7 linked regions of the Callithrix jacchus genome follow. The protein of the gene in region 1 purifies or fractionates together with the protein of each later gene. This does not show direct contact. Links are inferred from orthologs where the notes say so. Each region holds a gene or a part of one and is shown on either strand. Other genes may lie near its edges. The genes, in order: PPP1CA, CAPZB, RASSF7, PPP1R3D, PPP1R37, PPP1R18 and PPP1R9A.

Evidence for each region.
Region 2: the proteins of PPP1CA (region 1) and CAPZB purify together in Homo sapiens (affinity purification with mass spectrometry; 3 studies listed by BioGRID and IntAct, with this or other methods). This does not show direct contact. The link is inferred for Callithrix jacchus from reciprocal best matches to the Homo sapiens genes PPP1CA and CAPZB.
Region 3: the proteins of PPP1CA (region 1) and RASSF7 purify together in Homo sapiens (affinity purification with mass spectrometry; 3 studies listed by BioGRID and IntAct, counting the BioPlex papers as one, with this or other methods). This does not show direct contact. The link is inferred for Callithrix jacchus from reciprocal best matches to the Homo sapiens genes PPP1CA and RASSF7.
Region 4: the proteins of PPP1CA (region 1) and PPP1R3D purify together in Homo sapiens (affinity purification with mass spectrometry; 3 studies listed by BioGRID and IntAct, counting the BioPlex papers as one, with this or other methods). This does not show direct contact. The link is inferred for Callithrix jacchus from reciprocal best matches to the Homo sapiens genes PPP1CA and PPP1R3D.
Region 5: the proteins of PPP1CA (region 1) and PPP1R37 purify together in Homo sapiens (affinity purification with mass spectrometry; 3 studies listed by BioGRID and IntAct, counting the BioPlex papers as one, with this or other methods). This does not show direct contact. The link is inferred for Callithrix jacchus from reciprocal best matches to the Homo sapiens genes PPP1CA and PPP1R37.
Region 6: the proteins of PPP1CA (region 1) and PPP1R18 purify together in Homo sapiens (affinity purification with mass spectrometry; 5 studies listed by BioGRID and IntAct, counting the BioPlex papers as one, with this or other methods). This does not show direct contact. The link is inferred for Callithrix jacchus from reciprocal best matches to the Homo sapiens genes PPP1CA and PPP1R18.
Region 7: the proteins of PPP1CA (region 1) and PPP1R9A purify together in Homo sapiens (affinity purification with mass spectrometry; 3 studies listed by BioGRID and IntAct, counting the BioPlex papers as one, with this or other methods). This does not show direct contact. The link is inferred for Callithrix jacchus from reciprocal best matches to the Homo sapiens genes PPP1CA and PPP1R9A.

Annotation. Positions count from the first base shown.
Region 1 is NC_133511.1:124,477,355-124,481,538, reverse strand, and holds the start of PPP1CA (serine/threonine-protein phosphatase PP1-alpha catalytic subunit), read left to right. Parts: upstream 1-1,384; 5' UTR 1,385-1,481; coding exon 1,482-1,536; intron 1,537-2,066; coding exon 2,067-2,198; intron 2,199-2,354; coding exon 2,355-2,585; intron 2,586-3,308; coding exon 3,309-3,413; intron 3,414-3,811; coding exon 3,812-4,035; intron 4,036-4,118; coding exon 4,119-4,184. UniProt on the Homo sapiens protein: Protein phosphatase that associates with over 200 regulatory proteins to form highly specific holoenzymes which dephosphorylate hundreds of biological targets.
Region 2 is NC_133508.1:56,290,987-56,294,486, reverse strand, and holds part of CAPZB (F-actin-capping protein subunit beta), read left to right. Parts: intron 1-3,317; coding exon 3,318-3,439; intron 3,440-3,500. UniProt on the Homo sapiens protein: F-actin-capping proteins bind in a Ca(2+)-independent manner to the fast growing ends of actin filaments (barbed end) thereby blocking the exchange of subunits at these ends.
Region 3 is NC_133511.1:131,332,673-131,336,719, reverse strand, and holds the start of RASSF7 (ras association domain-containing protein 7), read left to right. Parts: upstream 1-1,247; 5' UTR 1,248-1,336; coding exon of another isoform or gene 1,337-1,516; intron 1,517-1,681; 5' UTR 1,682-1,837; intron 1,838-2,565; 5' UTR 2,566-2,629; coding exon 2,630-2,825; intron 2,826-3,289; coding exon of another isoform or gene 3,290-3,882; exon of another isoform or gene 3,883-4,047. Other genes in the region: LMNTD2 (lamin tail domain-containing protein 2), read right to left, coding at 1-36, 412-567, 657-744, 1,095-1,247, 1,337-1,516, 3,290-3,882. UniProt on the Homo sapiens protein: Negatively regulates stress-induced JNK activation and apoptosis by promoting MAP2K7 phosphorylation and inhibiting its ability to activate JNK.
Region 4 is NC_133506.1:55,556,082-55,560,227, reverse strand, and holds the start of PPP1R3D (protein phosphatase 1 regulatory subunit 3D), read left to right. Parts: upstream 1-1,346; 5' UTR 1,347-1,738; coding exon 1,739-2,638; 3' UTR 2,639-4,146. UniProt on the Homo sapiens protein: Seems to act as a glycogen-targeting subunit for PP1. PP1 is essential for cell division, and participates in the regulation of glycogen metabolism, muscle contractility and protein synthesis.
Region 5 is NC_133523.1:39,285,729-39,289,966, forward strand, and holds the start of PPP1R37 (protein phosphatase 1 regulatory subunit 37), read left to right. Parts: upstream 1-1,438; 5' UTR 1,439-1,591; coding exon 1,592-1,793; intron 1,794-4,238. UniProt on the Homo sapiens protein: Inhibits phosphatase activity of protein phosphatase 1 (PP1) complexes.
Region 6 is NC_133505.1:35,482,941-35,486,995, reverse strand, and holds the start of PPP1R18 (phostensin), read left to right. Parts: upstream 1-1,255; 5' UTR 1,256-1,547; coding exon 1,548-1,606; intron 1,607-2,392; coding exon 2,393-4,025; intron 4,026-4,055.
Region 7 is NC_133512.1:54,748,844-54,752,783, reverse strand, and holds the start of PPP1R9A (neurabin-1), read left to right. Parts: upstream 1-1,140; 5' UTR 1,141-1,217; intron 1,218-1,486; exon of another isoform or gene 1,487-1,595; intron 1,596-1,760; exon of another isoform or gene 1,761-2,042; intron 2,043-2,307; exon of another isoform or gene 2,308-2,514; intron 2,515-3,776; 5' UTR 3,777-3,940. UniProt on the Homo sapiens protein: Binds to actin filaments (F-actin) and shows cross-linking activity. Binds along the sides of the F-actin. May be involved in neurite formation. Inhibits protein phosphatase 1-alpha activity.

The sequences.
Region 1 (4,184 bases):
TATCGTTCCAATTTTAGTATATGTTCTGCCGAAGTGAGCACAATTTTTTTTTTTTTTTTTTTGATACGTTCTCTCTCTCTGTCACCCAAGCTGGAGTGCAGTGGCGCCATCTCAGCTCACTGCAACCTCTGCCTCCTGGTTCAAGTGATTCTCCTGCCTCAGCCTCCTGAGTAGCTGGAACCACAGGCACGTACCACCATGCCCAGCTAATTTTTTGTATTTTTAGTAGAGACGGGGTTTCACTGTGTTAGCCAGGATGGTCTCAATTTCCTGACCTTGTGATCTGCCTGCCTTAACCTCCCAAAGTGCTGGGCTTACAGGTGTGAGCCACGGTGCCTGGCCAATTTTTGTGTTTTGTGTTGAGACGAGGTTTCGCCATGTTGCCCAGGCTGGGCGCAAGAGATCATTATGCCTCAGCCTCCCAAAGTGCTGGAATTACAGGCCTGAGCCACGATGGCCAGCCCACCTCCAGTTTTGAGGTTACTGGTGTGTAAAGCACCCAACTCAGGGTTCCAACAGTAATTACGGTTCATGTAATGTCTACTCTTTATAATTCTTTTTACGTGCACACCCTGCAATATTACTGTGCTACTCAAAGCTTATTATGGGGCCAGGTGTGATGGCTCAGGCCTGTGATCCCAGCCTGGCTAGCATGGAAACTCCCCGTCTAATAAAAATACAAAAATTAGCGGGCGCGGTGACATCCGCCTGTAGTCCCTGTTACTCTGGAGGCTGAGGCATTGTCATCGCTTTAACCCAAGAGGGGAAGGTTGCATTAAACCAAGGTCGCGCCACTGCCTTCCAGCCTGTGGGACAGAGCAAAACCCGCCTCAAAAAAAAAAAGCTAATTATGGGACTTATAAGAAAATATTAATTTAGCATGCCCCAAGGACCAAAGTGCGCTGGGAATTCTAGCTGTCTTTGAGTGTGGTCAGCCGCCTGGGGGCCACGGAGACCCACGAGGAAGGGGGTCCTCGGTGCAAGCGAGGTCCAGGTCTTGAACCAGCCTGTCGCTATGTCTTGAACCTCAGTTTCCCTTTCTGCATTTGGAGAAGTTAACCCTCAGTGCGGGGCAGCCGGTTATTAACGTGTTCACGACACCCTCCACCCAGGGCAGGGGTGGGAAGGGCTGTTCAGCTTTTGAAAGAGAAAAACAACTTCCACATTCCTTCCGGCCCCACATCCTCGAAACGGAGCTGGGCGCCTCCTCTCGGGCGTAACTAGCCTCGGCCCCGCCCCCGACAGACACCGCCCCCAGCCCGCCGCCGAGGCCCCGCCCCCTGGGCCTCCGCGCCTCACATCCAGCGGGGGCGCTAGAGCGCGGGGGGCCGGGCAGGGCGGGCCCGGGAGGCCCGGAGGCGGAGCGGCGGGCCGGGGGCGGACTGGGGCGGGCGGAAGGAGAGCCAGGCCGGAAGGAGGCAGCCGGAGGGCGGGAGACGGGAGCGGGCCCGGAGCTGCTGGACTGGAGCGGCGGCGCCGCCATGTCCGACAGCGAGAAGCTCAACCTGGACTCGATCATCGGGCGCCTGCTGGAAGGTTGGCCGGGGTGGGGAAGGTCCGCGTCCGCCGCGCCCTGGACCCCTGCCCAGCCCGGAAGTGGCGCGCGGGCGGGCCCCCGGGGCCAGCTTAGACTGGGCGGGGACGCGCCGCGAGGTTCCGTGGCCGCAGCCGCCCCCCCCCGCGGACGCGCCTGAGAGGTCCGGGGCCGGCTTCGAGGCGCGGAGCAGCCCCCTCTCCCCGGCCGGGGGCTCACGGGTTGCCTCGGCTCTTGGGGCGAGGGAGAAACCCGGGAAGCCCGGTCCAGGGAGGTGTCTTGCGCTGTGAGGTTTTGGGCGGCAGCCCCCTGCGCACGACAGTCGCCTCCCGAGCCTTTGAGGATAACTAGGGGGGCTTCCCTTGGGAGGCTTGAGGCCGACGTCCCAGGAGGCTCAGCAGCAACAGCTGCCTCTGGGCAAGGAGGGGCCGAGGAGGCCTAGGCGCCCCCGGAGGTATCCACGGGGCCACCGTGTCGCCCACCCTCCCCCTGTCTGAGAGGCCAGGGTCCTGACTCCGCATTGCGCCCCCAGTGCAGGGCTCGCGGCCTGGCAAGAATGTACAGCTGACAGAGAACGAGATCCGCGGTCTGTGCCTGAAATCCCGGGAGATTTTCCTGAGCCAGCCCATTCTCCTGGAGCTGGAGGCACCCCTCAAGATCTGCGGTGAGCAGCCCCCAGCCTCGCCCAGGCCCCTTTGGCTTCCTAAAAGTGGCACTGGCCCCCACAAAGTTCCTGGAGCCCTCCTCCCTTGAGCCTAGTCCTGGCCCTGGGTTCAAGTCTAGACCCAGCATCTAGCTTACTCGGTTCCATGGGTCACAGGTGACATCCACGGCCAGTACTACGACCTTCTGCGACTATTTGAGTATGGGGGCTTCCCTCCGGAGAGCAACTATCTCTTTCTGGGGGACTATGTGGACAGGGGCAAGCAGTCCTTGGAGACCATCTGCCTGCTGCTGGCCTACAAGATCAAGTACCCCGAGAACTTCTTCCTGCTCCGTGGGAACCACGAGTGTGCCAGCATCAACCGCATCTATGGTTTCTACGATGAGTGTGAGTGGTCTGAGCACCCAGGGTTGCCCGGGTCCCGAAACGCTCCTTGCTATTCAGTGGGACCCTCACATTGGCTTCGTATCTGACAGACACTTGCTAGACTGTGCGCTCCACGAAGGCAGGGCCCGCTCCATTCTCGTGCCTGCCCTGCCCTGCCTGGCACGGGGTCTGGGGCATGGTTGCTGACTGGAAGGCTGCTGGTATTCTGGTGCTTGCTCCCAGGGCCCTGCCTGGTGAGGCTCCACTTACATCTGCTACTAAGCACTTAGGATGTGTTTGCAGATGGGCTCAGCTGTCCAGAAGCTGAGATAAACCAGACCTGTACTTGGCCCAGCTTATGGGTGGGGGTGTTTGGGGAGTGCCAGCCCTGAGGCCGGTCCAGATTGGAACTCAGTTTTCATTGGACTTGGGTGCTTTAGAATTACTTCTGGCAGGAAGATCACTTGGACCCAGGAGCTCCAAGTTACAGTGAGCTATGATCTCGCCACTGCACTCCAGCTGACCCTGGGTGACAGAGCAAGACTGTTTAATTAAAAGTTAAAATAAAAAGTAAAGAGAATAGTTCCTGGAAGGCTGATAGGCTGCAGGGGCAGGAGTGGGGACAGGGGCAGGGTGCAGGGTGGTTTGCCTCCAAGCCTCTCTCCTCCCATCTGCGTCTGAATAGCCCAGGGACCCAGGTGGAGGGTGGGGTAGGCGGGCCCCTCACAGCCATCTCCTGGGCAGGCAAGAGACGCTACAACATCAAACTGTGGAAAACCTTCACGGACTGCTTTAACTGCCTGCCCATCGCAGCCATCGTGGATGAAAAGATCTTCTGCTGCCACGGAGGTGAGGGAGGGGACGGCTGGGGACAAGGAGACCTGGCCGCATCCCCCATTGCCGGGCCAGCTCTCCTTAGGTCTGTCTCATCTGGGAAGTCACTCCTTCTGGGAAGTGTCTCCCATACCCCTGTGCCGGGCTGCGCTGACTCCCTTGTGCATCCTACATGGAATAGGCTTGGCTTGTCTATCTCCCGGGAGCTCTGCGCTCCTGAGGGCGGGGACATCTTTGTGCCTCTTTGGGAACCTGCAAAAGCTGAGGGGAAGGGGATGACTTCTGCCGCCTGGGTGCCCAGGTGACCTGTGGAGGAATCAAGGGGGCAGTGGGAAAGGTGAGGCTGATTGGCCACAGCTTCCTGGAGTGAGGATGTCCTTGTTTGAGGATGTGGACTTCCCCCGGTCCCCCAGGCTTGTCCCCAGACCTGCAATCCATGGAGCAGATCCGGCGTATCATGCGGCCCACAGACGTGCCTGACCAGGGCCTGCTGTGTGACCTACTGTGGTCTGACCCTGACAAGGACGTGCAAGGCTGGGGCGAGAACGACCGTGGCGTGTCTTTTACCTTCGGAGCCGAGGTGGTGGCCAAGTTCCTGCACAAGCACGACTTGGACCTCATCTGCCGGGCGCACCAGGTGGGCTGGCAGCTCTGGCCTGGGGTGGGAGAAAGGGAGGCCAGTGCCAGCATGCAGAACTGACTGCTCTGGTCTGCACCCAGGTGGTAGAAGATGGCTATGAGTTCTTTGCCAAGAGGCAGCTGGTGACACTTTTCTCAGCTCCCAAC
Region 2 (3,500 bases), on another chromosome or scaffold:
CTGCTAGTTTCTGAGTTCCAGTTTAAATGTATGTTTCTCTGGCGTTGGTTAGTACCTGGCATTCAGGCTGTCAGAAGTCCCGGCACAGAGCACAGATCTTCATGGGTGGTCTGTGTCCCTGCAACTCATCGACTATGTTTGACAAATGAACAGTCTTGGGCTTTGCCTAAGGTTCTGTGGCCAGCTCACAGCAGAGCCACTCTCAGGTCTCTTAGTTCTCGTTCCTTCCACCATTGCTGTGGCTCATTGAGGTCATATATTAATAAAAATGCCAGGGCTTTCACGACAGCCCCAGGTCTCTCTGTGTAGTGCTTTCTCACCATACCATGGTTCGTATCTGAGAGTGCCTGGTTGGAACCACACATGAAACTTGTCAGCATCCATTCAAATTGAGTTCTGGACAAGTGCTTTTGCTAAAGATTCCTACCTGTCAATTTATTAATTTGAAAATAAAGTTGATTGGAGTTTGGGAGGCTCCATGTTGTAAAACTCCTCCTTTCCTCCCTCCTTCCGTCCCTTCCTCCCAAATATATTAAGCATTTGCTGTATGTCAGGCACTGCCACAGGCACTGAGAATCCTGCGGTGAGTAAGATCGAAGTTTTTGCCCAAGTAAAACTTGCATTCTAGTGAGGGAGACAGACAACTGATCAATGAAAAATTACTCCACCTGGTGTTAAGTGCTAGGAAGAAATTAGCAGATGCTTTTGATTCATAGGTTAATCTCTTGGATAGGAGTAGAATCAAGCCTCTTTTATGCCAACCCCCATTTTCTTGTGAGCTTTCCTACGTTGGGGGGACTCAGCTGCAAGCAGCATGCCTGGTGGGAGAAGGGAAGCAGCTGGCTCCAGGTGGGGTCGAGGCACTGGATCCTCACAGGTACATTTGTACCCCATGTCTGAAGCAGCACAGTGAACTGAGGTACGATCGAGGCTGCTGTTGACATCTGAGAGTAACAGGTGACAGATGATCTTGTCTAAAGGAAGAGAGAGGAACCTGAATATGTCAGGCAATAACATGCGACCGTTTCCCTGTGTCGGACTCTGCCCTGAACACTGAATTCATTACCTCATGTGGGTCCTTAAAATCACATGGGATATCCAGACGGGTTGGTTTTATTATCCCCACCTTACAGGTACAGAAACAAAGTCTCAGTAGGGAAGTAAAATGACTTCCCTACTGAGGTTCCTTATGACCCAAGGCCATAAGGCTGCTTGTACGCAGTGGAGTCAGTAAGTCCAACTTCAGACCCTATTTGCTCAGTCTCTGCTATAATTCAGGATAAACTGGGCTGATTGTGTCAGGACTCCAGCCAGAGAGAATGGGTTCCAGGCAAAAGTTGAGGCCCAACAGACAAGCCAAGGCAACAGCCCAGCATTATAAATGGAGATGCTTAGGGACAGGTATGATGTGTTAGGCGAGGCAGCAGGCACATAGGTGCCCAGGGGTGCTTCACTGGCAGTGGCAGCACGGCATGGCCTCTTCCAGGTCCCAGTTGCCTTGGGTGGAAGCTGTTAGACCTTCCTTTTCTCAGCCAGGACTTCCTTCCAGGTGAAGGGCTCTGTGGCCACCCCTGAGCAGGGGTGGGGCTAGGAGGGGGCTGTTTGCCACCAGAGTGTGCCTTTGGCATACACTGTCCTTCCCCTTTGCTGGACATTAAACCAAAGTTAGAGTGGGAGGAGTAGGGCCTTTGGACTCATATGGCCCTGGTTTTGTTTTCTGTCTCCACTGCTTGCTTCTTGTGTGGCCCTTGGGTAACTCAGTGACTCCGGGCCTCAACTCTAATCTGTAAAATGGGGCTTTACATACCCACTTTGCTGAATGTGTGTGAGCTTTCAAGTCAATGACATGCTCTATGTAAAGGGCCTAACGTAGTTCGTGGTGCATGGCACGCACATGGAAATGGTAAGGGGCATGATATATCACCAAAACCAACTTGGAAAATAGCCCCCATTTTGTTACGTTTGTTTAGAAAGGGCAGATACACCTGGAAAAAGAATTCTGAAAACAAGCACAGGTACAGGCCAGCCCTAGGCCTCACACCTATAAGCCCAGCACATTGTACACAGAGCTTGGTGGTGTATGTCTCTCTCTTTGAGTGCTGTACCCTGTGCAAGAAACAGATCGTCTCACCACGGCCAGAAATTCTATGGGTTACGAGGCAGGGTTACAGTCCTTTCTTCAGTTGTGCTGGATATTGCTTTCCAAGCTGAGTTCTAAAGCACTCTGGAGGGGTAGCAGAGGAGCCCATGGAGGCTGGGTAGTCTCTGTGGTGGTGGGGCTCCCTGTCCCGGTGTCTTGGACGGTGGCAAGGGCCTTCTGGAAGAACACAGGAACCACCATGGCTGTCACCCTCTCTGCCGAGCCGCTCTGCTGGTGTCTTTGCCGTGCAATTTAACTTTTCCATTGGGAAGAGTTATTGGTGCAGTTGGCAGGCGCTTGCCTGGTAAACGATACAGTGGGGCCCCCATAAACCCAGGCCCATGAAACAAATAAGTCAGCACATTGAAAATATAGCATGGAAATGACTCAAGCCTGAAGGAATCCATTTCTGAAAGTACTGCCATCCCTTTCTGGGACATTTTGGTGGAAATCGATGTTTGAGTTGGGAGGAGGAGGCCCGTGGCCTGGTTACTTGCAGAGCCTTGTGTCAGAGTCGCAGCACTGGCCCAGGGTGTAAGTCCTGGCAGCCCCCGACCACGGGGTCATCCTTCTCGGTGAGGCGGCCCCCTGGCAGGCCAGACAGGGGTGAGCCCAGTGGGGTTCTGTGCTGTGGGAGCCGGGGTGAAGCTCTCTTTGCAGTAGAGAGAGTTGACTCTACGAGCCAACTGGTAACACTTGGCTAGGGGCCTGGAAAGTACTGGAAACTCCGCCCAGCATGGGAGCCTGTGGGAGTTCTCCGGCACGGACGAGTTATTCTTCTCTGAGTTCTTTAGATTCCTGTGTATTTGAAATGCTTACCTTCTTCTCAGGACTTCGGCTTGTACTTTTCCCACCAGAGACCAATACTAAGCACATACACACTTAAATTTACTAGGCCACCCTGGTGACCAGGTAATTAAAGCTGCACACCCGTTTTTGGAAGGAAGACTGTATTAGAAATCACGCTCCACTGTAATTCAAGAATGGGCTTCTTTATAGAGGGACACAGTTGGTGTCAGACACACATGGAAAAGAAAAGAACAGGCCCGTGATCTTGGCTCAGAACCCAGGGCCAGATGTTAAAGGTTCTGACCGTAACACGGCTGCAGCATGTTACCACCTGAGTTTGGCATGCTGTTTTAACCTCTGTTTCGACCTTGTCCTTTCTCTCTGCCAGGTCCCCAGTCTATGTGAGGATCTCCTGTCTTCTGTTGACCAGCCACTGAAAATTGCCAGAGACAAGGTGGTGGGAAAGGATTACCTTTTGTGTGACTACAACAGAGATGGGGACTCCTATAGGTGAGCTCACGCCCCGGGGATACAGCAGGCGCAGCAGCCATTTGCGGGCTGCCGTGGGTGC
Region 3 (4,047 bases), about 6.9 Mb from region 1:
GGCAATGCTGTTCCAGTCTTTTTCCAGCCGAAAGCCCTGGCCAGGAAACAAGAGGCACATTTCCTCCCAGACCACACACGTGGCAGGCCTAACTCACCTCCCCAGTGGGGGCCTGAATGTTCTCAGAGAGGTCACTTGGGTCCATCAGAGTCCCTGCCATCACCACCTGCCAGAGGGGACCAGAGGCCAGTGGGCAGGGACTGGGGCGAGTGGCACCCTCCCCCACAGCACCGCTCCTCTTTGACCACACCTGTACTTTGAGGCCTCCTGATTCCTCCCCGCTGGAGCCTGGAGTTCCAGAGGCAGCCTGAGCCCGGCAGGCTTCCAGGCAGGCCAGGGCCCCCAGCAGAGGTACCCAATGGGAGGGTGAGGGCTGGGGAGGGTGGCTGGGGCAGCGGGGCTTGCGCTCACCTCCACACTGCCAGTCTGGGATTGCAGCATGCGGCCCACCCACGAGGAGCGGGCTAGCTGCAGGAGGCAGGACTTCTGGAAGTTCTGCAGCTCAGCCTCTACCTCCTGGAGCCTGCGCGTGGTCTCCAGCAGCTGCTCCTCCAGGTACTCCTTCTCCTGCTCCAGGAGGGCCTGTGGGTGAGAGGCCAGCCCTGGCCTGGCTCCCAACACCAGGACCCCGCCCACTCCCTGTGCCCCCACCTCACCCACTGGGCTTGCTCTTTCTGTTCCTTCAGCTGCAGGGTCAGCTTCTGGACCTGGCTCTGCAGGAGCCTCTCCTGACTGTGGGAGCTCCTGGAGGAGGGATGACCTCAGCAGCCCCCAGCCTGCTCGTGCAGGCGTTCTTAACACCAGGTCAGTGGTGAAGGAGGGGCACCACGGCCATCTTGGCCCCAAGGGCAGACAGTACAGCTGCACTGGGGCCGGCCAGCCACCCACGGGTCTGGGCAGGGGCCTGGCACCCATCCACATGTGCAGGGCTGGGGTTGAAGCTGCAGTGTGTTAGCTTAGGGTCAGGGTGGAGGGTCGGCGTGGGCAAGGACAAGGGAAAGGATCTGACTCGGCGGTTGGGGTTGGGGTCAGAAACCAGGAGTCCGGGCCAGGACAGGGCAGGGTTGGGTTGGGCTGGATGCTGTGCTTCAGACCTCTTGGGCGGAAGCCCCGCCACCTCCTGCAGGATGTGCCAGAGCCGGGTGTCCCGGCCATTCCGGACCGCCCACCGCAAGGCCTGGATCTCTAGTTCTCGCTGCCCCCACAGCAGCCGCAGCGTGCGAGGATCCAGGGACTCAGGAGCCAACCTGCAGTGACAGTGTCCCCCGCTTCTTGCTCAGGCTGGGCCCCAGCCATCTGGCCCAGGAGCTTCACCACTTTTCCCTCCCATCCTTACTGCGGGTTGGCAGAGCAGGCCACCCGTGTCATGGAAGTCGCAGAGGCTGCAGGTGTGCCCGCTGGAGGTCCCAGGTGACCACTGACCGACTCTCGGTCTGTGGAGGACGAGAGAGCCTCCTCCTTGGCTTCTTCAGCCCCGGGGCCAGACTTGGGAGCCATTCGTGATGTTCTTTGGGAGCTGGGAGGAGTGGGGGGGCCAGGTCTGCTGGGTGTGCTTGTGTGGCCACATTGGGGCCGCCCAGCGGTGGCTATTTGAGGAGCCCCAAAATGGGTGTCCACACTTGTGTGTTTCTGACCTTTGCCAGTGACGTGGTGTCCTTCTCTTTCTCTCTGGTCTCCCCAGCTCAGGACCCCACCCCCAGCACTCACCTGAGGCCAGAGCTCCAAGCAGGCCTGGGAAGGAAGGGCTCTATACCGTTGCCCTGGATACCAGCACCCAGAAGGGGAGGGGCTGTTTGTTACCTGGAGGCTCCAGGGAGACCCCAGACCAGGCCCCTGGGTGAGTTCTGAGCCAGCCCAGGCTGGAGGAGGTGTGAGAGACTGAGCCACTGCTCAGCTTGGGGTGGCGGGGAACCACTTAGTGGCCAACACCCTCAAACTGAGGGAGGCCTCAGCACCCCCTACCCAGCCTGGTGGCAGCAGTGTGACACATATGGGGCATTGCTGCCTGTGAGCCAGGCCAGCATAGCCATGGGTACGTGGGGGACAGGAAGCAGACAGGTAACAGTGACAAGCTGGGGACTGGTGAGGGCTAACTTACAGTAGTACACCCCACCCACAGCCTCTTTTTAAATTAATAATTATTTTTATTTTTATTTTTTTTGAGGCGGAGTTTCGCTCTTGTTACCCAGGCTGGAGTGCAATGGCACGATCTCGGCTCACCGCAACCTCTGCCTCCTGGGTTCAGGCAATTCTCCTGCCTCAGCCTCCTGAGCAGCCGGGATTACAGGCCGCGCCACCATGCCCAGCTAATTTTTTGTGTTTTTAGTAGAGATGGGGGTTCACCATGTTGACCAGGATGGTCTCGATCTCTTGACCTCGTGATCCACCCGCCTCGGCCTCCCAAAGTGCTGGGATTACAGGCTTGAGCCACCGCGCCCGGCCAATAATCAATTTTTTAGAGACAAGGTCTTGTTTTGTTACCCAGGCTGGAGTTCCTTGGTGTGATCCAGCTCATGGTAACCTCGAATTCCTGTGCTCAAGTGGTCCTCCCACTTCTGCTTCCAGAGTTATTGGGACTACAGGTGCCTGCCTGCACCGCCAGGCCGGGCCCACAGCCCCTTCGACCTCAATGACCAGCACTCACCCGCAAGCTGGAAGCCTCACCTTTTCCAGCCATCTCCACACCCTCTGGGCCACCCCCAGGGACCCCTTTGGGCATTGCCATTATCATGACAAGTATTCCCTCTCCTCCTGGACAAAAGCGAGGCCAGACCTGACCCAAGCACTCCAGCCTTCGCCCTCCATCTCTGCAGCTTGTCGGCTGGGTAAGGCCTCCCTAGAGGAGCACAGGAGACAGGCCGGCAGGAGGCCCCTCCACGCCCACAACTCGTTCTGAGCTGGGCAGAATAGGCAATGAATGGCGGACCACGAGGCTGCGGACCCCGGCCGGGACAGCAGGGCAGAGGAGCGGCTTCCAGCCGGCTTCGCTATGCGCCAGGCCCGGCCCCGGGTCCTAAAGGGCAGGCAGGTGTCGGGGAAGAAGAGCCTCAGCCCGGGCCCCGGCCTTCTCCCGAGCGCGCACCTCCCGCACCAGGGCTCGGCGCCCACCAGCCCCACAGGGCTCCACGTCCCTAGCCGGGGACTTGTGACCTGCTAGCCTGAGACCCCTGCGCGTCCAGGCGACGGCGGCTGCGGGGGCCGCGAGGGGCGGTGCTGGCCCCGCTGCCCCCGAGCACAGGTGGGGTTTGCGGGAGCCCAGGCCGGCGACCCTCCCTGGGCAGGAACCCACCACACTGGAAGGCGGCTGAGGAAGTCCGCCCAGGAGCGGGGCCAGACACCTGCCCCGACGCGCCGCCCGGGGGGCCGCAGCCGCCGCGTTTCCGCGTACCTCGCAGGATAGGGGATGGGGGCCGCATCTAGGCCCCGCCCTCTGGCCCGCCCACACCTGGAGTTTCTGGGGGCGGGGCGCGGCGACGAGCCAATGGGGCGGGGAGGGGCGTGACGGAGGTAGCCAATGGACGAGGGCTGGAGGGCGGGACACCCGCGCGGGTAAGCCAATAGGGGTGCTGGAGGGCGGGGCACGCGGGCCGCGGGCCAATGGGGGCGCGGGGTCGGGGCGCGCCGCGGCGCTGGGGGCGGCAGGTTGCGGCGGTGCCCGAGCGGGTCGCGAGGCTGGCGAGCGCCCAGGTGAGCCGCGTCGGGTCCCGGGGCCTTCCGAGTGCGGGGCTTGCTTCGAGCCGGCCGGGCACCAACTCCAACTGGGGAGCGTTTTCCGCGAGGCCCGGGCGGGGGGCCGAGGGCGGGGGCGTCGCCGCACCTGCGCCCACCCGACGGAGCTGGGACGCCCGGGCTCCCGCCAGGCTGGGGTTGTGGTTCGGGCATCGGTGCCCGCGGCGGAGACCGGGAACTTCGGGGCGAAAGGAGCGATTGGGCGGCGGGGCTCCCTGGGTTGGCGGAGGCTGCTCAGACCCGGAGTCCGCTGGATGCGCGGGGTCGAGGTCTGGGTCGCGACCCCGAGCGCCGCTGCGGCCTGAGCGGGTCCGGGTG
Region 4 (4,146 bases), on another chromosome or scaffold:
ATTTTCCATATATTCATACATATTACTTATTCTCTCTTTGTGAAATACTGTTGACCCATACCACAGATATCTGTTATTCCCCTCCCATTTTGAGCGGCCTGTTAAAAGTGCGCTGAATGGAAATTGGATATTTCTCTTTCCCATATCACCTGTCTCTGTAACATAAAAGAGATGTGACTATAGATATTTTCTTCCTGAAACTTTCCTGTATTTTTTCCACAATAACCATGTAAGCCTTTTTAGTTAGCTCACATCCGATGATAAATAAAATCACTCTCTCACATTTAATGAATTATACCACAATCAACAAGCTTGACTCATTTTAGATGTAGAAAATGTTCTTTAATATAACCCCCTTCCTTAGTCCTTTTTTCTTTCTGCTTTGTCCCTCTGGACAGGAAAAAGGAACCTTCTCAGTGGAATGCTTGGCCCCAAACTGCTCTCTGGAAAGTGGACCTGGATCTTTCTCACTCATTTCACCTGGTTAAGATTTACACCAAAGTCTGTGTGGGGTTTTGTGCTCAGAGCTACCCGGTGAGAGACACGAAGGCTTGCAGGGTTCTAAGGATGCAGAAAACGAGCTCCAGGCCTCGCTGGTGTTTCCGGCTTGCTTGGAAACAAAGCTGAAAGTCGGAGACTCTGTCTACAAATCTGTTCCCCAAGCGCCAGAGGCTGATTAAGGGCAGCTGCGGAAGTCATCACCGGGTATTAACTCTGGTTGCCCGTCTTCCTCTCCGGCGTTGGGTCCAGGAAGACAACAGCAGCGCCTCAAGTCCCCACCCTGCGGGGAATCTGTGGGCCTTTCGGGGCGGCAAAGCATTGTGGGTGATGCGGACAGGAGGCTGCTCCTCCACGCAGCGACGCTCCCGCGGTCTGGCCAAGGGTCTAGGTTGCAGTGAACCCGTCCAAAGTGTGGGCTAGCCGCGACGTTTACAATTAGCCCGGGGCCAGCTGCTGGCAATGCCGGTGTTTGCACCCCCGCTCCCCACGCCACAACCCAGAAATCTAAGGACACGCAGCATGCATTTTCCTTGTCCTCCGTTTGTGCAGACAGGGTCTGGGATCGATAGGCGCGCGGTCCAGGCAGACGTAAACAGACATTGATCAGACCTGTTTCGCGACTGCAGCGCACACGTGACGAGGCTCCCAGCCTTCCTTCGTCTCCGGCACCCGCGCGGCGAGGCCTGGCTGCGGCGCGCTGCGGCAGTGGAGCTGGAGGCGGCGGCGCGCAGCTCCACGGAGCTCTCAGGCCCGGCCCGGGCTGGCGGGGGCCCGCCTGCAGGTGGCGTCACGAGGGGCGGGGCGGAGGCTCTCTGGGAAGTTGCACCCGGTCGAGTTGCAGCCTCGTAAGTAACGCCACCGACCGGGAAAGTGGGAGGGGCCGCTCCCAGAACGCAGCCTTCTCGTAAGAACCTCCAAGGAAGCAAGAAAAAAAAAAAAAAAAAGAAAGAAAGAAAAAAAGAGGCGCTACCCTGAGTTCCCGGGAGGCTTCTGAAAGCTTCCACTAGAGAAGAGCTCGTCTCTTAAAATTTCTTAAACTGCAAGAAGCGGAGGACCCGGGCGAGGACTCCAGGGGCAAGGTGGCGAACAAGAGTAGGGCGCGCCGGGCCCCAGCGGTCCCCCGTAGGTTGCAGACACGGCGGACTCTCGGCGGCTTCTGAGCACGGAGGGAGCTGTCGCGGGGTCGGGAGGCATCCCCTCATCCCTGTCTCCCCATCTTCCGACGGCCGGCGGGGCCATGTCCAGAGGCCCGAGCTCCGCAGTTCTGCCGAGCGCCCTGGGATCCCGGAAGCTCGCCCCCCGGAGCCTCAGCTGCCTGTCGGACCTGGACAGCAACGTGGCTCTGGAGCCGCCGCACTGTAGGCCCCCGGGGAGCCCGGGCCGCGCGCCGCCACCCACGCCGGCGCCGTCGGGCTGCGACCCCCGCCTGCGGCCCATCATCCTGCGGCGAGCGCGCTCGCTGCCCAGCTCCCCCGAGCGCCGACAGAAGGCCGCGGGCGCGCCGGGCGCTGGGTGTCGGCCGGGCTGCAGCCGGCAGCTCCGCGTGCGCTTCGCTGACGCCCTGGGCTTGGAGCTGGCGCAGGTGAAGGTGTTCAACGCGGGAGACGACCCGTCGGTGCCGCTGCACGTGCTGTCGCGGCTTGCCATCAACTCGGACCTGTGCTGCAGCAGCCAAGACCTGGAGTTCACCCTGCAGTGTCTGGTGCCCGATTTCCCGCCGCCCGTCGAGGCCGCCGACTTTGGCGAGCGCCTGCGGCGGCAGCTGGTGTGCCTGGAGCGTGTCACTTGCTCGGACCTTGGCATCAGCGGTACGGTGCGCGTGTGCAACGTGGCCTTCGAGAAGCAGGTGGCGGTGCGCTACACTTTCTCGGGCTGGCGCAGCACCCACGAGGCGGTGGCGAGGTGGCGCGGGCCCGCGGGGACTGAGGGCGCAGAGGACGTCTTCACCTTCGGCTTCCCGGTGCCTCCCTTCCTGCTGGAGCTCGGCTCCCTCGTGCACTTCGCTGTGCGCTACCAAGTGGCTGGTGCCGAGTACTGGGACAACAACGGTGGCCAAGACTACAGCCTCACGTGTCGCAACCACGCGCTGCACATGCCTCGCGGGGAGTGTGAAGGGAGCTGGATCCACTTCATCTGAGCCGCGCGGGGCCACAGCCTGGAGCCTCCACACTTAAGCAACGCCTGCTGTCATTCATTTCCCTGCTGGGCCCTCACATCTATCTGGTTGTTCTTCGCCACCCTGCAAGTTCTCTGACCTCATTTTCTGCTGCGAGGTCCCCCGGCAGAGGCCCATCCTGTCTTCTGCTTGAAATGTCTGAGTCACTTGGTCTAAAAAGCAGCCTCAGGTGGCCGGAAGGCCGAGTTGACTTGTGTAATGAGTTGGGGCACGGTGGTGGGGTAGGTGCATGGGAGGGTGGGCCCTCTGGGGAGGCCCAAGCAGCTTGTTTTGGAAAGGCCCCCTCCTGCTAGGAAGAGCTTTTGCATGTGTCCTGAATGTGTCTCTGTAAACATAGCTGTTATTTATTATTGTGATGTTGGGACCTTTAGCTCATAGCGAATGCCTCCTCAGGAATATTCTCGATTTAATAAGCTAAAAAAAAGGTCTGTTGTGTGTTTGTGCCCACAGTAAACAATGTACAGTGTGACCCACATCATGGTCCCTCCAGGCATTCCTGCCCCACGACAAGGAAAACCTGAGACCACATCTGCTTGCCAATGGGCTGTAGCCTTCTAACAGTGGGAAACTATTAATAGGCAAGAAATTATCAGTCATCACACAACCATTCCTGGGCACTGAGACAGCCCTGGTGGGGCTGTGTGTCTCTTAGGTTAACAGCTGGGGAGGAGGGGAAAAGCTTCAAACTTAAACTAGCAAAACAGTTCTTTCTCTGCAGTCACAATTCTGATTTCATGTATTTCTCTGTTCAGGCCATTCTGTTTAAGTCTGAAACTTCCTAAACGTTTTAAGAAGTCTTGCCTTCGTTTTTTCAATTTTCAGGTGACTAGAGAATTTTAGGCAACAGTGCCCTTTTTGACCATTAAGGTGATTACCTTTTTGACCATTAAGGTGACTCTTTTTATTTCTTGTTAAGCATCAGAGGATGTCAGTATTTATCTTTTGGGAATCCAGTTAGAAGGTGGAACTAGAAGGTGTTTTCAGCAATAGCCAGAGCACTAGAGAAAAATAATTGATAAATATTTATACTTGTAAATTGTTTGGAGCTGTATTTACATATGTCATGTTTTATCAGGTACCCACAAACTTTATACTTTGTGCCTTCAAATAGGGTTTCTAACATGTTCTAGATTTGTCAGTTTTAAAATATTAAATTCTTTTTTGTTTTAAACCTTCAGCCAAGAAGTCAAGACCACTGTGCCCTCCTGGGTTAGGCAATCGCTTAAAACTCCAAAGAACTCCAGGCTGATGGTTCTTTTGGTGCTGAACAGTGGTCTCTCTGATTACAGGTGCTAGAACTAAGGTGTGAAAAAAAAAAAAGCCAAGAAGGATCAGATCTCCAGTTTGTGAAGTGTGTTTGTGATACAGTTGAAACCAGTGTGATCAATTTTATGATACTGTCACCAGGGAATTAATTCTAAACTTTTGAATGCTTGTTGGCATCTGTCAAATCAATACCGAAAGGACAC
Region 5 (4,238 bases), on another chromosome or scaffold:
GTAACCTTTCAGTGCATTGTTTAAAAAGAAAGCCGTTTCTGCCCCCTTCTGCAGATACTTCAAGTTCAGGATGTAAGCGAAGCCTACCATTAAGTAAAGGTTAGGGTCGTTTCGTCTCAGTCGCGAAATTGCGGCGGCCGATGATGAACCGCGCCAGGAGCAGCCTCAGCAGCCATCCGTGGGTTCGGGACGCCGGCTCCGCAGAGGCCCGGACCTAGCTCTTAAGTTGCCTTGGCAACGACGCGGCTCGCTCCGCCCCAGTTTCCTTTTATGGTTTCAGCCCCGCCTCTCCCGGGTTGCCGGGTGCGCTAGGGAAAGCGTGGCGAAAGTGCGGCGGCGAATGTCAACCGTTGGGCCTGAGCCGGAGGGTGTGGCTTGAGCTCGCCCTAGTTCGTTCTTGCCTCGGTGACCCACCGGCCTTGTCACTCAGGATTTGGGTTGGCCTTTGGAGTATCTACCTTCTCCTAGGTTTAGTTTTTAAAAATCGCCCATGATACTGCTCATGGGCTCCTATTTATTTTAGCATTGTAATTTAAGTTGTATTTTATGCAACTCTACCTAGGTACAGAGAGCTGTTGATGTTAACTGCGGTGACTAGCCAAGGGGCCGAGGCTTTGTCTCCAGAGGATCCCTATCTGTCAGCATCCATCAACTGTACTTGTATATTGAATGCAGTTCCTATCTGCCTTTTGTTTCGACTTCTTCATGCCGTTACCCACTCTTCATCAGTCTAACCTCCATGTTTATATTTATTTCCTTTTGTTGAGCGAGCCTTTTCCCGGGTCTTGCTCAGTCTCCCAGGCTGGAGTGCAGGGGCGGGATCCTAGCTCCGTGCAGCCTCAACCTCCTGGGCTCAAGCGATTCTCCCACCTCCTAAGCAGCTGGAACTACAGGCGCCCGACACCAGACCCTGCAAATTTTAAAATATTTTTGTAGACGGGGCCTCGCTATGTTGCCCAGGCTGGTCTCGAACTCTAGGACTCAAGCGATCTTCCTGCCTCAGCCTCCCAAAGTGCTGGGATTATAGGCATGAGCCGCCGCCGCGAACCATCAGATATTTTCATTTCTATCCACTCCATTCCCTGGGCTCTTGACGAATGTGCGGAGCTGATATTCGTTATCTGGACTCAGGCGGGGAGGCGTGGGCTTAGCTTCGCGCTTGCGCGCTGCTCTTGGAGACGGCGTCTACTTCGCCCCGCCCCCATGGTCTGCAGTTCCGGCTCTGCAGATTCGCTGCTCACGTTTTTTTTTTCCGTGGCCCTTTCTGCCTTTTGTTTCCCTCTTCATGTCACCTGCGGGACAACTCGACCTGCAAGTCACTTAAATCGGTTTTCTGCGTCTTTTAGTAAGCGACGGGCTCGCCAGCCTCGAGCGAAAGTGTGACTGCGAACGGGCAGGCGCGCGCGGGGCTCGGCGGAGGCGCGCTTGGGCTCCCGGCGGCGACGACTACGACGACGAGGAGAGCGGACGGAGGCGGCGCCTGAAGCAGTGGCGGAGCCCATGCCCCGGGACGGCGGGCGGGCCGGGAGAGACAAGTCCGGGGCCCGGGGCATGTCCCCGGGGCCCCCGTGAGGAGGAGCCGGCGGCGGCTATGGAGATCCCGCCGCAGGAGGCTCCGCCCGGGCCGGGCGCAGACGACGACGTTGAAGAGGCCCCCGTTGAGGCCGGGTCTCCCAGCCCTGCCTCGCCCCCCGCGGATGGGCGCCTCAAGGCTGCAGCCAAGCGCGTCACGTTCCCGTCCGACGAGGATATCGTGTCTGGTGCAGTGGAGCCCAAAGACCCCTGGAGACATGGTAGCTACTGCGGGAGAAGCGGGGGCGGGCTCGAGGGGGACCCGGGGGTCGGGAGGGATCGGTGCAGAGCCCCGTTCAGAGGTGGCGTTCAATAGATTGCACCTAATGGCTAATTAAGGGGACAGTCGTCAGTTTAGAGTCGGAGGCTGTTAGAAGGTGGCCGTGGAGTTGGGAAGGTGAAAAGTATCTGGTTTCTGCCGCACCCCACCCACCCGAGACAAAGGAGGTGATCGTTTTAGGGTTTAAAACGATGAGCATTAAATAAAGTTTGGTGGTTTGTCAGATGGGGAGGGTGGCAGCCTTTGCGTTCGTAGTTCTACCAGAAAAGGAGAGCGAGAGCAGTAAAGGGAGGAGGAGCAGGTCAACACTGGCCCTGAAAGGGCAGTTGTAAGAGTTTGCTGGGTCTCTGAGGCTAAAAAGAGGTTAAGTTGCTGGTCTGCAAGCCTCGGGGCAGGGAGTGATCGTGTTGGTCACTTTCTTGGCTGGAAAGAGGAAGAATATAAACCTGAACTGTGACTGTGGAGAACTTGGTAAGCTCCCAGAAGAGGAGCAGGGCTGGTGGTCAATTTGTGGTTAGGTAAGGGAGTCAGAGGCAGTGTTGTTTTTTCTTTTTATTGTGATGATATCTCATTATGTTGCCCAGGCTGGTCTTGAACTTCTGGATTCAAGCGAGCCTCCCGCCTTGGCCTCCCAGAATGTTGGGATTACAGGCGTGAACCACTGCCTCCAGCTGCAGTGTGGTGTTAAGAAAAGCCAACGGCAGAAGGAAGGCTGTCAGTCGTTCAGGAGCAGAGGATGTTTGGGGCATGACTGTGGAAGGGTCTTCTTGTTCCTTCCTGAGAAAGAATGAGCCAATACTGGATGCATTGGCTCATTCCCATAATCCTAGCACTTTGGGAGGCCGAGGCAGGTTGATCACTTGAGGTCAGGAGTTCAAAAGCAGCCTGGCCAACGTGGGGAAACCCTGTCTCTACTCAAAATATAAAAATCGCCTGGGGCATGATGGTGTGCCCTGTAATCCCAGCTACTTGGGAGGCTGAGGCAGGGAGAATGGCTTAAACCTGGGAGGCAGAGGTTGCCGTGAGCTATCACAACATTGCACTCCAGCCTGGGTGACAAGAGCAAAACTCTGCCTCAAAGAAAAAAAAAGAATGAGAGGATGTTATCAAGTCAGGAGCTAGAGTTGCTGGCTATTAGCAGGTGAGAGAACTGAAGAAGTTTGACCACTTGAGGTGTTGGGAGAGGGGGCAAGCCCACTGAAGAGGGTCAGGTCAGTGTTGGAGCTGAAAGGAGTGTATTGGAGCCATAGGGCTGGGAAGGTGGAAGTTGCTTGGGAGATGCAGGGCAGTGTTGAGTTCATTTCGTGCTGGAGAAGTCTGTCAATCCTGCTAGGGTGGAGCCCATGAAGTGAGGGATTGGACTGGCTGTGGTTCTCTAGAAGCTGATCTCCTGGCCCAGGGTAAGGGGAGAAACTTTTGCCGGTCTGTGGACAGTGGAGGAAGTGGTGGCTTTGATGTGAGGGTGGGAAACGTGGTAACTGGAAACTGAACACACAGGGAGTCCATCATGAATGAGTTTGGTTACTTCTTCTTATTATTGTTTTAGATGGAATCTCCCTCTGTCGCCCAGGCTGGAGTGCAGTGGCATGATCTCGGCTCACTGCAACCTCCGCCTCCTGAGTTCCAGCAATTCTCCTGCCTCAGCCTCCTGAGTATCTAGGATTGCGAGCGCCTGCCACCGCACCTGGCTAAAAGTGTTTGTATTTTTAGTAGAGACAGGGTTTCACCGTGTTGGCTAGGCCAGTCTCAAACTCCTGACCTCAGGTGATCTGGCTGGCAGTGGTTAAATTAAGACTTTTGGGCTGGGTGCCATGGTTCATGCCTGTTACCCCAGCACTTTGGCAGGCCAGCGTGGGCAGATCACCCATGCCCAGGAGTTCAAGACCAGCTTGAGCAACAAGGTGAAATGCCATCTCTAAAAAAAATAGAAAAATTAGCCAGGTGTGGTGCATATGCTTGTAGTCCCAGCTACTTGGGAGGCTGAAGAGGGAGGATGACTTGAGTTCAAGAGGTTGATGGTGCAGTGAGCTATGATTGCGCCACTGAATTCCAGCCTGGGTGACAGAGATCCTGTCCAAAAACAAGAAAAAAAAAAGAGACTTTTGGCACTGGGAGCCAGCCAAGTCCTTGGGCTCTACGGCCCAGGGAGAGGTGGTTAGTTTGGGACCAGGGCACAGTCAGAATGGCCCCTGGCTATAGCATGGTATCCAGTTCAGAGCAGGAAGGGGAAAGACCTGGAGAGTCAGAACAGGGTGGTTCAAGAGCAGAGGCTCCAGGTCAGAGCCTTCGAGACCTCAGACTGGTTACCTAGCTCCTGAGCCTCAGTTTTCCCATCTGTAAAGTAGGTGGTAATACTCTCACCATGGGATTTAGGAGAGGGCTGGAT
Region 6 (4,055 bases), on another chromosome or scaffold:
GTTTCAGCCACTGAACTCCAAGAGTCCACATCTCACCAGCAAGGAAGAGCAGGGTATGGAATTCATCTGTCTCCTCACTGTTTAGGGCATGGCATGCTCCCCTTCAACAGTCTCCTAGAAGGAAAGGATCTGCCCTGACCATTCCGCTGGCGGGCACCATTGCTTCTCTCTGTGCCTCTGGGATCCCCCTCCCACTTCGCCACCTCTGGCTTCCACTCCGAGAAGCTGGACCAGGGTCTGCAAGTTCAAAGGCAGTGGCTGTCCCTCCAGGCCCCACACCTTGCCTCAGCACTCCCGGCCCTAGTGTCTGCACCTCCTTAGGCCCTGCCTCTGAACCTAGTCAAGAGGATTCTCCCGTTCTTAACTTGGGGCTTCCTGTTCTGGATGCTCTGCAGGAAAATAAAAGCCTGATTTTTCTACGTACTGCATGTAGTCTGTCAGTGTCTCCCAAGCTGCAGGGCTGAGTTTGGGAAGGAAAGCCAGAGGGAGCCTGCGAGCCCGCGAAGTGGAGTCTGGGCAGCCACCACGCCCTCTGGCAACCGCTGGCCTTCGACCACCGCGCCCCCGCTGACCCGCCCCCACTTTGCCAGAGAGGCCGGGTCCCCATTCCTTCAAATCCCCTTCCCCCACTCCCCAACCCCGCAGCTGACCAAGAGACTCATGGGAGGCAGGTTGAAGCTAGAAAGAGTGGGGACAGCAGCTCTGGTAGGAGAACGAGCTTCCAAAACTGCTGGCTTCTGAGCGCCTCTCCTGCCGCCCCCTCCTCAAGGCCTCCTGGTGGCTGCCCTCGACCCGGCAAAAACAAAGACTGGCCGGAGAAGGCAAAATCGCGGGGAGGGCTGAGAGGCAGGAGATGGGAAGGGCGGGCCCGGCTCCTAGCAGCTGCCGCTTCCTCCCAAAGTCCCACGAGGGGCCTGAGTCACGGGCCACCGCCCTGGGTCGGCGAGCTGGGGGAAGGGATCTGGACACCTGGGTTCTTCAGGGCTACCGGGAGGGAAGCGGTTGAGGGCCCCTGGGGACACAGAGCAGAGGACCAGGGGTTGGGGCGAGTAGGGGGCAGTCCCAGAGCCAGTCCCACGCGCGGTGGGAGGGAGCCCCGCCCTCCCCTCGGGCTCCGCCCTGCGCCCCCTTCCCTCTCCTCATTGTCCTTAGACAAAGCGGTCGCCGCCCCCGCCCGGCCCCCTGATCTCTGTCTCCGTCCCTCCTCCTTTGCTGCCTCTTTCCCTCCTCCTCTCCCTCCTCCTCCCCTCCCTCCAGTCTCCGGATCTCCCTCGGTCCCTCTCTCCTCCTCTTCCTCTCTCTGGACGCCCGGCTCCTCCGCACCCCCTCCCAGGGGGGCCCCACGGCGTGTGAGTTGACTGAGGGGCTTAGACTTGGGGAGGGGGTGTCTCCTCGCTCCCGTCCCTGGCCCGGACCTTGGCTGTCTCCTCTTTGTGCCGAGATTGTCAGTCTGTGCAGCCAGAGCGGGGTGGAGACAGCTGGCTCTGTCACGGCTCCATGAGAGCGGGGACCGGGCATGGGACTCGCAGGCGCTGGAGAGAAGAGGCATGGAGCCGGCCCTCGGCACTCCGGGGTCGCCGGGCGCAGACGGCGGGGGAGGCAGGCGGTATTGACGGGACTGGGTGGGGGTGGATACCAGGGTTCTGGGAACGCGCTGGCAGCCCCGACGCCCGGGTTCCGAAAGTCCCGGGGTGGGTATTTCCCCCGACCCGCCTCGGGGGCGGAGTGCGGGGCAGAGGGGTGGGGGCTGGGGAGAGGCGTGGCCCCAGCGGCACTGGAAGCGGAGCAGGGACCTTTGGGGCCCGCGCTGAGACGCTCCCGGCCGCTACCGCCGCGCTCCCTTCCCCTCTTCCCTGGTTTCCCTTCTCCCCTAGACCTGCTCGCTCTCCGCTCCTCCCTGCCTCCTCGACACCCCCTCAGGTCCCGTTGCCCTCCTCGGGAGGGATTCCCGGTCCTTCCTTCCCACACTCACCTCCCTGGGGTATCGCTGAGGCAGCCAGGCCTGCACCCGGGTTCCCCTCATCCCTGCCCCTTTTCTCTTTTCACCCTCATAGCAACTTTTCTTTTCTCCCATTCTCTGTTTCCCACATCCTAGAGACTGTCTTTAATACGCATTAACCCTGTACTGCCACATCTGGCTCCTGTCCTCATTGCCTCCAATCTGGACTCTTCCTCTCACATCGCCCCCACCACCCCCAACTTGGGCTCATAACTTCTCTTCACTTTTTCCATTTCCCCTGTTCTCTGCCGTCCCTCTTTCCCTTGGTCCTCATCCTCAGCTCCTCTGCCCTGCTCGTGGTCCCACCTCTCCCCCTCCACTTCCTCCCCTCCCACCCTCAGTCTCACTCCCTGGGCCTCTCTGGAGCCTCTTCTTCCTGTTCTCTGCCCCCAGTGCTCCCTACCCTCACCTCAAGGCGACCATGACCACCATCCCAGACTGGAAGCTACAGCTGTTAGCCCGGCGCCGGCAGGAGGAGGCGTCCGTTAGAGGCCGGGAGAAGGCAGAACGGGAGCGCCTATCCCAGATGCCAGCCTGGAAGCGAGGGCTTCTGGAGCGCCGCCGGGCCAAGCTTGGGCTGTCCCCTGGGGAGCCTAGCCCTGTGCCAGGGACTGCAGAAGCCGGACCTGCAGACACAGATGAATCTGCGGTCCTTCAGGAGGCCATCGGGCCAGTGCACCAGAACCGATTCATCCGGCAGGAGCGGCAGCAGCAGCAGCAACGGAGTGAAGAGCTGCTAGCTGAGAGAAAGCCTGGATCTCTGGAGGCCCGGGAGCGGAGACCCAGCCCTGGGGAGATGCGGGATCAGAGCCCCAAGAGAAGAGAGTCAAGAGAAGAGAGACTAAGTCCCAGGGAGACCAGAGAGAGGAGGCTGGGGATAGGGGGAGCCCAAGAGTCGAGCCTGAGGCCTCTGGAGGCTCGGGACTGGAGGCAAAGCCCAGGAGAGGCGGGAGACAAGAGCTCCCGACTGTCAGAGGCACGGAAATGGAGGCTGAGTCCTGTAGAAACTCCAGAGCGGAGTCTGAGACTAGCAGAGTCTCGAGAGCAAAGCCCCAGAAGAAAAGAGGTGGAAAGTAGACTGAGCCCAGGGGAATCTGCCTACCCGAAGTTGGGCCTGACAGAGGCCCATAAATGGAGACCTGACTCCAGAGAGTCTCAGGAACAGAGTTTGGTACAACCAGAGGCAACAGAGTGGAGGCTGAGGTCAGGAGAAGAAAGAAAAGGCTACTCAGAAGAATGTAGGAGAAAAGAAGGGAGGCCAGTTCCAGGGGTGGCCCCAGAAGAGACTACAGAGCTGTCAGAGACCCTGACAAAGGAGGCCCAAGGCAGCAGTTCTGCAGGAGTGGAGGCTGCAGAACAGAGGCCTATGGGAGACAGTGAGAGGGGCATGAAGCCAACAGAAGGGTGGAAATGGACCCTGAACTCTGGGAACGCTCGAGAATGGACACCCAACGACAACGAGGCTCAAACTCAGAAACCAGAACCTCCAGAGTCAGTGGAAAAGCGTCTGGAGCCTCCCGGTGTGGAAGCTGGAGAAGGGGAGGCTGAGAAGGAGGAGGCGGGAGCTCAGGGCAGGCCTCTGAGAGCCCTGCAGAACTGCTGCTCTGTGCCCTCCCCCCTCCCACCAGAGGACGCTGGGACTGGAGGCCTGAGACAGCAGGAAGAAGAAGCAGTGGAACTCCAGCCCCCACCACCAGCCCCTCTATCTCCCCCACCCCCAGCCCCAGCTGCCCCCCAACCTCCTGGGGATCCCCTCATGAGCCGCCTGTTCTATGGGGTGAAAGCAGGGCCAGGGGTGGGGGCCCCCCGCCGCAGTGGACACACCTTCACCGTCAACCCCCGGCGGTCTGTGCTCCCTACGACTCCCCCAGCCACCCCAGCCTCTCCAGCCACAGCTGATGCTGCAGCCCTGGGGGCTGGGAAGAAGCGGTACCCAACTGCCGAGGAGATCTTGGTTCTGGGGGGCTACCTCCGTCTCAGCCGCAGCTGCCTTGCCAAGGGGTCCCCCGAAAGACACCACAAACAGGTAGGGGAACAGCCGAGCCAGACTTCTTAG
Region 7 (3,940 bases), on another chromosome or scaffold:
CTTCTACAGACAGAACTCAGTGATTAGATTCTGCATTTATTTAGGTTATTTGCCTAAAAAACCTGGTTTCCATACTGCAAATAAATGACAAGAACTTTTCCACTAGATTATCCCAGACAGCACAAATGTTCTTTCCAAAAGTGGAGCCTGGAACCACAACCCCCTCACATTGCCTGTTACATCTGTTTATGCTTATAGAAGTGACATCCTCTTCATAGACAGAGAATGCCAGTTTCTTGGGAAAGGACCCAGAATTTGGTGACGCTTAAAGAAAAAATAAGCCCTCACTGTTTAAAATTAAAAAAATACATAGAATTGAGTATTGAGTAGCTACAAAATCCTTTTGAAATAAAAAGATTTTGCTACCAGATTATATAGAATCTGTGTACGGACTTGCCAAGGTTCATATCCAGCCATAATTATTCACTATTAATAGCTAATAGAGAAGTGGATACGTTATAAAATTTAAACCTTAGTTTATCCGTCAGTGAAATGGTGTTAAAAATAGTTATGTTGGGAAAACTTGTGAAAGACATTGAAATGAGCAAAAGATTACTGTTTGTCCTTTCAATGGAATGCTGGATCTTATCCACAGGGCTCCAGAGTGTTGTGAATTTAAAGTAGTCTGTACCTTAGAGTGACTTTCTCTAGGCTATTTTACTACTCAGTAAGCTGTAGAATCGTTTGGTAATATGTAAATGAATATTATCTACAGAATGCAAATTTATTTAGTTACTTTAGAGATACAACTGGTTACCGCCCTGTAAAGCAGATAATAAACATTTTACTGCTCTATAGAATATTAAGCAGCTTTGCCTCTTCTTGCCTATATGTTTATTCTTCACAGTCTCACATGAATGGGTTGTAGTATCTTGCTGAGGTTCCCTTTCTAACTAAGAGCTGTAAAAATTTTGACCCATGTTCATCTTATATTTCTTCCATTGACATGTTTTTACCTTCTTGAAAATTTTTTAAGGGTTCCTGCTCCTCAGGCTTTTTGGAAGGATTGGTTTAAAGATCTGTATTGACAGTCATGATCAGTTTTATATTTTGCAGGAAGGTGGTAACACTTCCGGTATTTGGGGGTGGAAGAGGGTGTACTAAGTGTTTAGAAAAGGGCGGGGGTGGGGGGCGTGGGCTGAAAAACTCTCCCTAGACAGAAAAGGCAGAAGACCTCCTCATCCCTTTCTCTTTGGCAGTGGGACCTTAAGGTCAAGGTGAGTAGCAGACCAGGCACAGTGGCTTAGGTGAAGGCCACTCTAGACTTGGGCCTATGTCTTGGCCTTCCTGGCCAGCAGAGTGGCCTGGGATTTGGATACCTTGGGGTCACGGAGTTAACTGCAGACTAAGTGAGGCCCCTGGCAGCTGTTCCCCTCAGAACCCAGTTCCAGAGCCAATACCCGAACCGGAAGCCGGCCTTGCCCCTAGGCCGGAGAGGCCCCTAGCCCACGGCCGAGGGGGTGGGGCGGCCTCGCCTCGGGCCGGTGCTTTTCGCCCTTACTTGGCCGCCAGAGGCTCCCTCTCTCTCCCTCTCCCGGGATTTTGCTGCCGGGCTCCCTCTCTCTGCGGCCCTAGAGTTAATCCCATCAGCCGAGGTGAGGCACCTGTTACCCCTGGCCTTCCTCATCCCCGCGGTCTCTCCTCCATGACACCGCAGCCTCCCTAGCTGCCCAAACGGCGTGGCGTGGCGACCACACGTGGCCCAAACCCCTTTCACGGCCGGCACCCGTGGCCCCAGGCCGGCCCAAGCGTGCGCGCGCGTAGCTGCCCGGGCCGCCGCCCGCCCGCAATGGCGTTGGGGAGCGCAGCTTGCCTCCCGGGGCCGCCCGCCGCGGGAAGGGAGCGAGTGGGGGCCAAGGCGCGAGTGGAAGCGGCCGCCGCAGCAGCCCTGCGCGCTGCGCCGTGAGGAACGGGTGGCGGGGCACCCAGCGGGCCAGCGCCGAGCCGAGTCGCCGCGGCCACCGTGGGGCGGGGGGCGCCTGCGAGGAGGGGGTGGGAGCCGTGGCGGCCCGACCCTCCCCGCCCGCGGCGCTCCCGCTCGGGTAAGGGGGAGGCTGTGCGCGAGGCGAGGAGTTGGGAGGGTGGAGAGGAGGAAAAAATCGGCTTGTACAAAGGCTGAGTTGCAGGCTGAGGGTGGGGGTGGGTGGTGGTGGAGGAGCAATAGGTTGAAGATCAGAGGCAATATCAGTGGGATCTATTGTTTCCTGGCACATTGGGAGGAAAAACAAAGGGATTTATTTTCATTACCCTGTAATTTCTTTTTCTTTCTCTCTCTCTCTCTCTTTTTTTTTTTTTTAATGTGGCCAGGGAGCTCGTCTCTCTCCCTGCCACACAGGGATCCGCCTGGCAGCCGCTGGTAGCCGCAGCCAATGTGTTAGGACTTCAGGTGCTTCTTGGCACAAAGCTAGACTGCGACCTCCTACCATAGCGCTTGGCGTCACCTGCTCTCCCGGTCCTGCCCCAGGGTCGAGGGATTGCGTCCCGAACCGGGCTTGGGAATCGGCTGCCTCTCAAGTTGGTGTTATTTATGTTTGTCTTTTGTGAGGGCAGGTTTTGAATCCCCCGGCGGCTCCATCGCCTCCGCCCCCGCCTCCTTGGGTTGGAATTGGCGGGGGAGGGAATGGGGTGTGTGTGTAGGGGAGAGGGGAGGGTGTTTGTGGCTTTGAAAAGAATGGTCAGGGTAAAAGGAAATTGTCGATGCTTTACAAAAAAAGAAAAGACAGGCACCACACTCCAAAGCCTTTCTTGTTTGTCTGCATGGGCCATGCATGCGCGCTGGGCCAGGAGCCGAGTTTGGAGACGGTTTAAGTGAAAGTGTGTGCCTCCTCAGCTGATTGTGCGTGAAGGTGATGTGGCTAGGTCTAATATCAAAACAAAACAAAAACAAAATGAAAAATCTTTAGATTGTCTGCTCCGCAGCGTATTTTGAGGTATTTGGCTGCTGGCTGATTGATGTACAATCCTGCTGTGGGCTAAAGGAGACCAGCAAACATGCATTGCGTTTTGAACTGTAGTAAGTTAGAGGCAAGAAAGAATAAACAAATCAAGGCTGTGGAAAGAGATGTCACAGTATATTTGCTTTCTGATTGTCACATTCTTATGCGTTTATTCCCATGGTAGTCTGCATCCCACTCCATAATTAATAACCACTGTTAGGAAACTTCCAAATACTTGTTATAACTGAACTTAGAGTGAAACTTATTGCCATTCAGGAACTTTTTTTCTCCTTGTTTTGGTCTGAAATTACATTAGTATTGTTTTGGAGATGCTGTAGATGAGAATATTGGAGCAGAAAAAGTGAAATAAGCCTCTGTAGGCATGTTTTAGAGTTTGTAAACAGATTCCAAACTTAATTGTGCTTAGAAAGAATAAGTTCTACTTGATTGTGGAGAATCCTAAGTGAAGTTGATTTTCTGGACAGTTTGATGATTTCTTAAAGATTGATGAACTGCTGGTTTCTTTTAAGGGTATTCACAAAAGCGACCAAACGTGGGTTTAAAGTATTGCTTATGTGTAACTTTGTGTGTGTGTGTGTGTGTGAGAGAGAGAGAGAGAGAGAGAGATTTTGATAGGGATCTCCAAAATGTATTTGAAACCTTTTTTACCAAAGACCAATCAGAATGATAATTTATTGACTTTTAACTTCCCATTTCAATGAGTAATCTCTTCTGTTTGACACGTAGCTAAGCCATTTGGAAAATAAATTATGTATTACTTGACTAGATATAAATTGAAATAAGTAAATGAATTCAGAAATTCATTCTTTTCTATTGCAGATGAACCCCTAGTTTTGCTTTGAAAAAAAAAACATTTTGTGTAACTCTTGACTGTGACTAAGTTCCTAATACACCTGTTGGAACGATCTCTGACACAGTATACCGTTTGAGAGGTACTTTTTTTGACCCAATACTGGTTATTAAAGAAGAGAGGTATCTTGGTT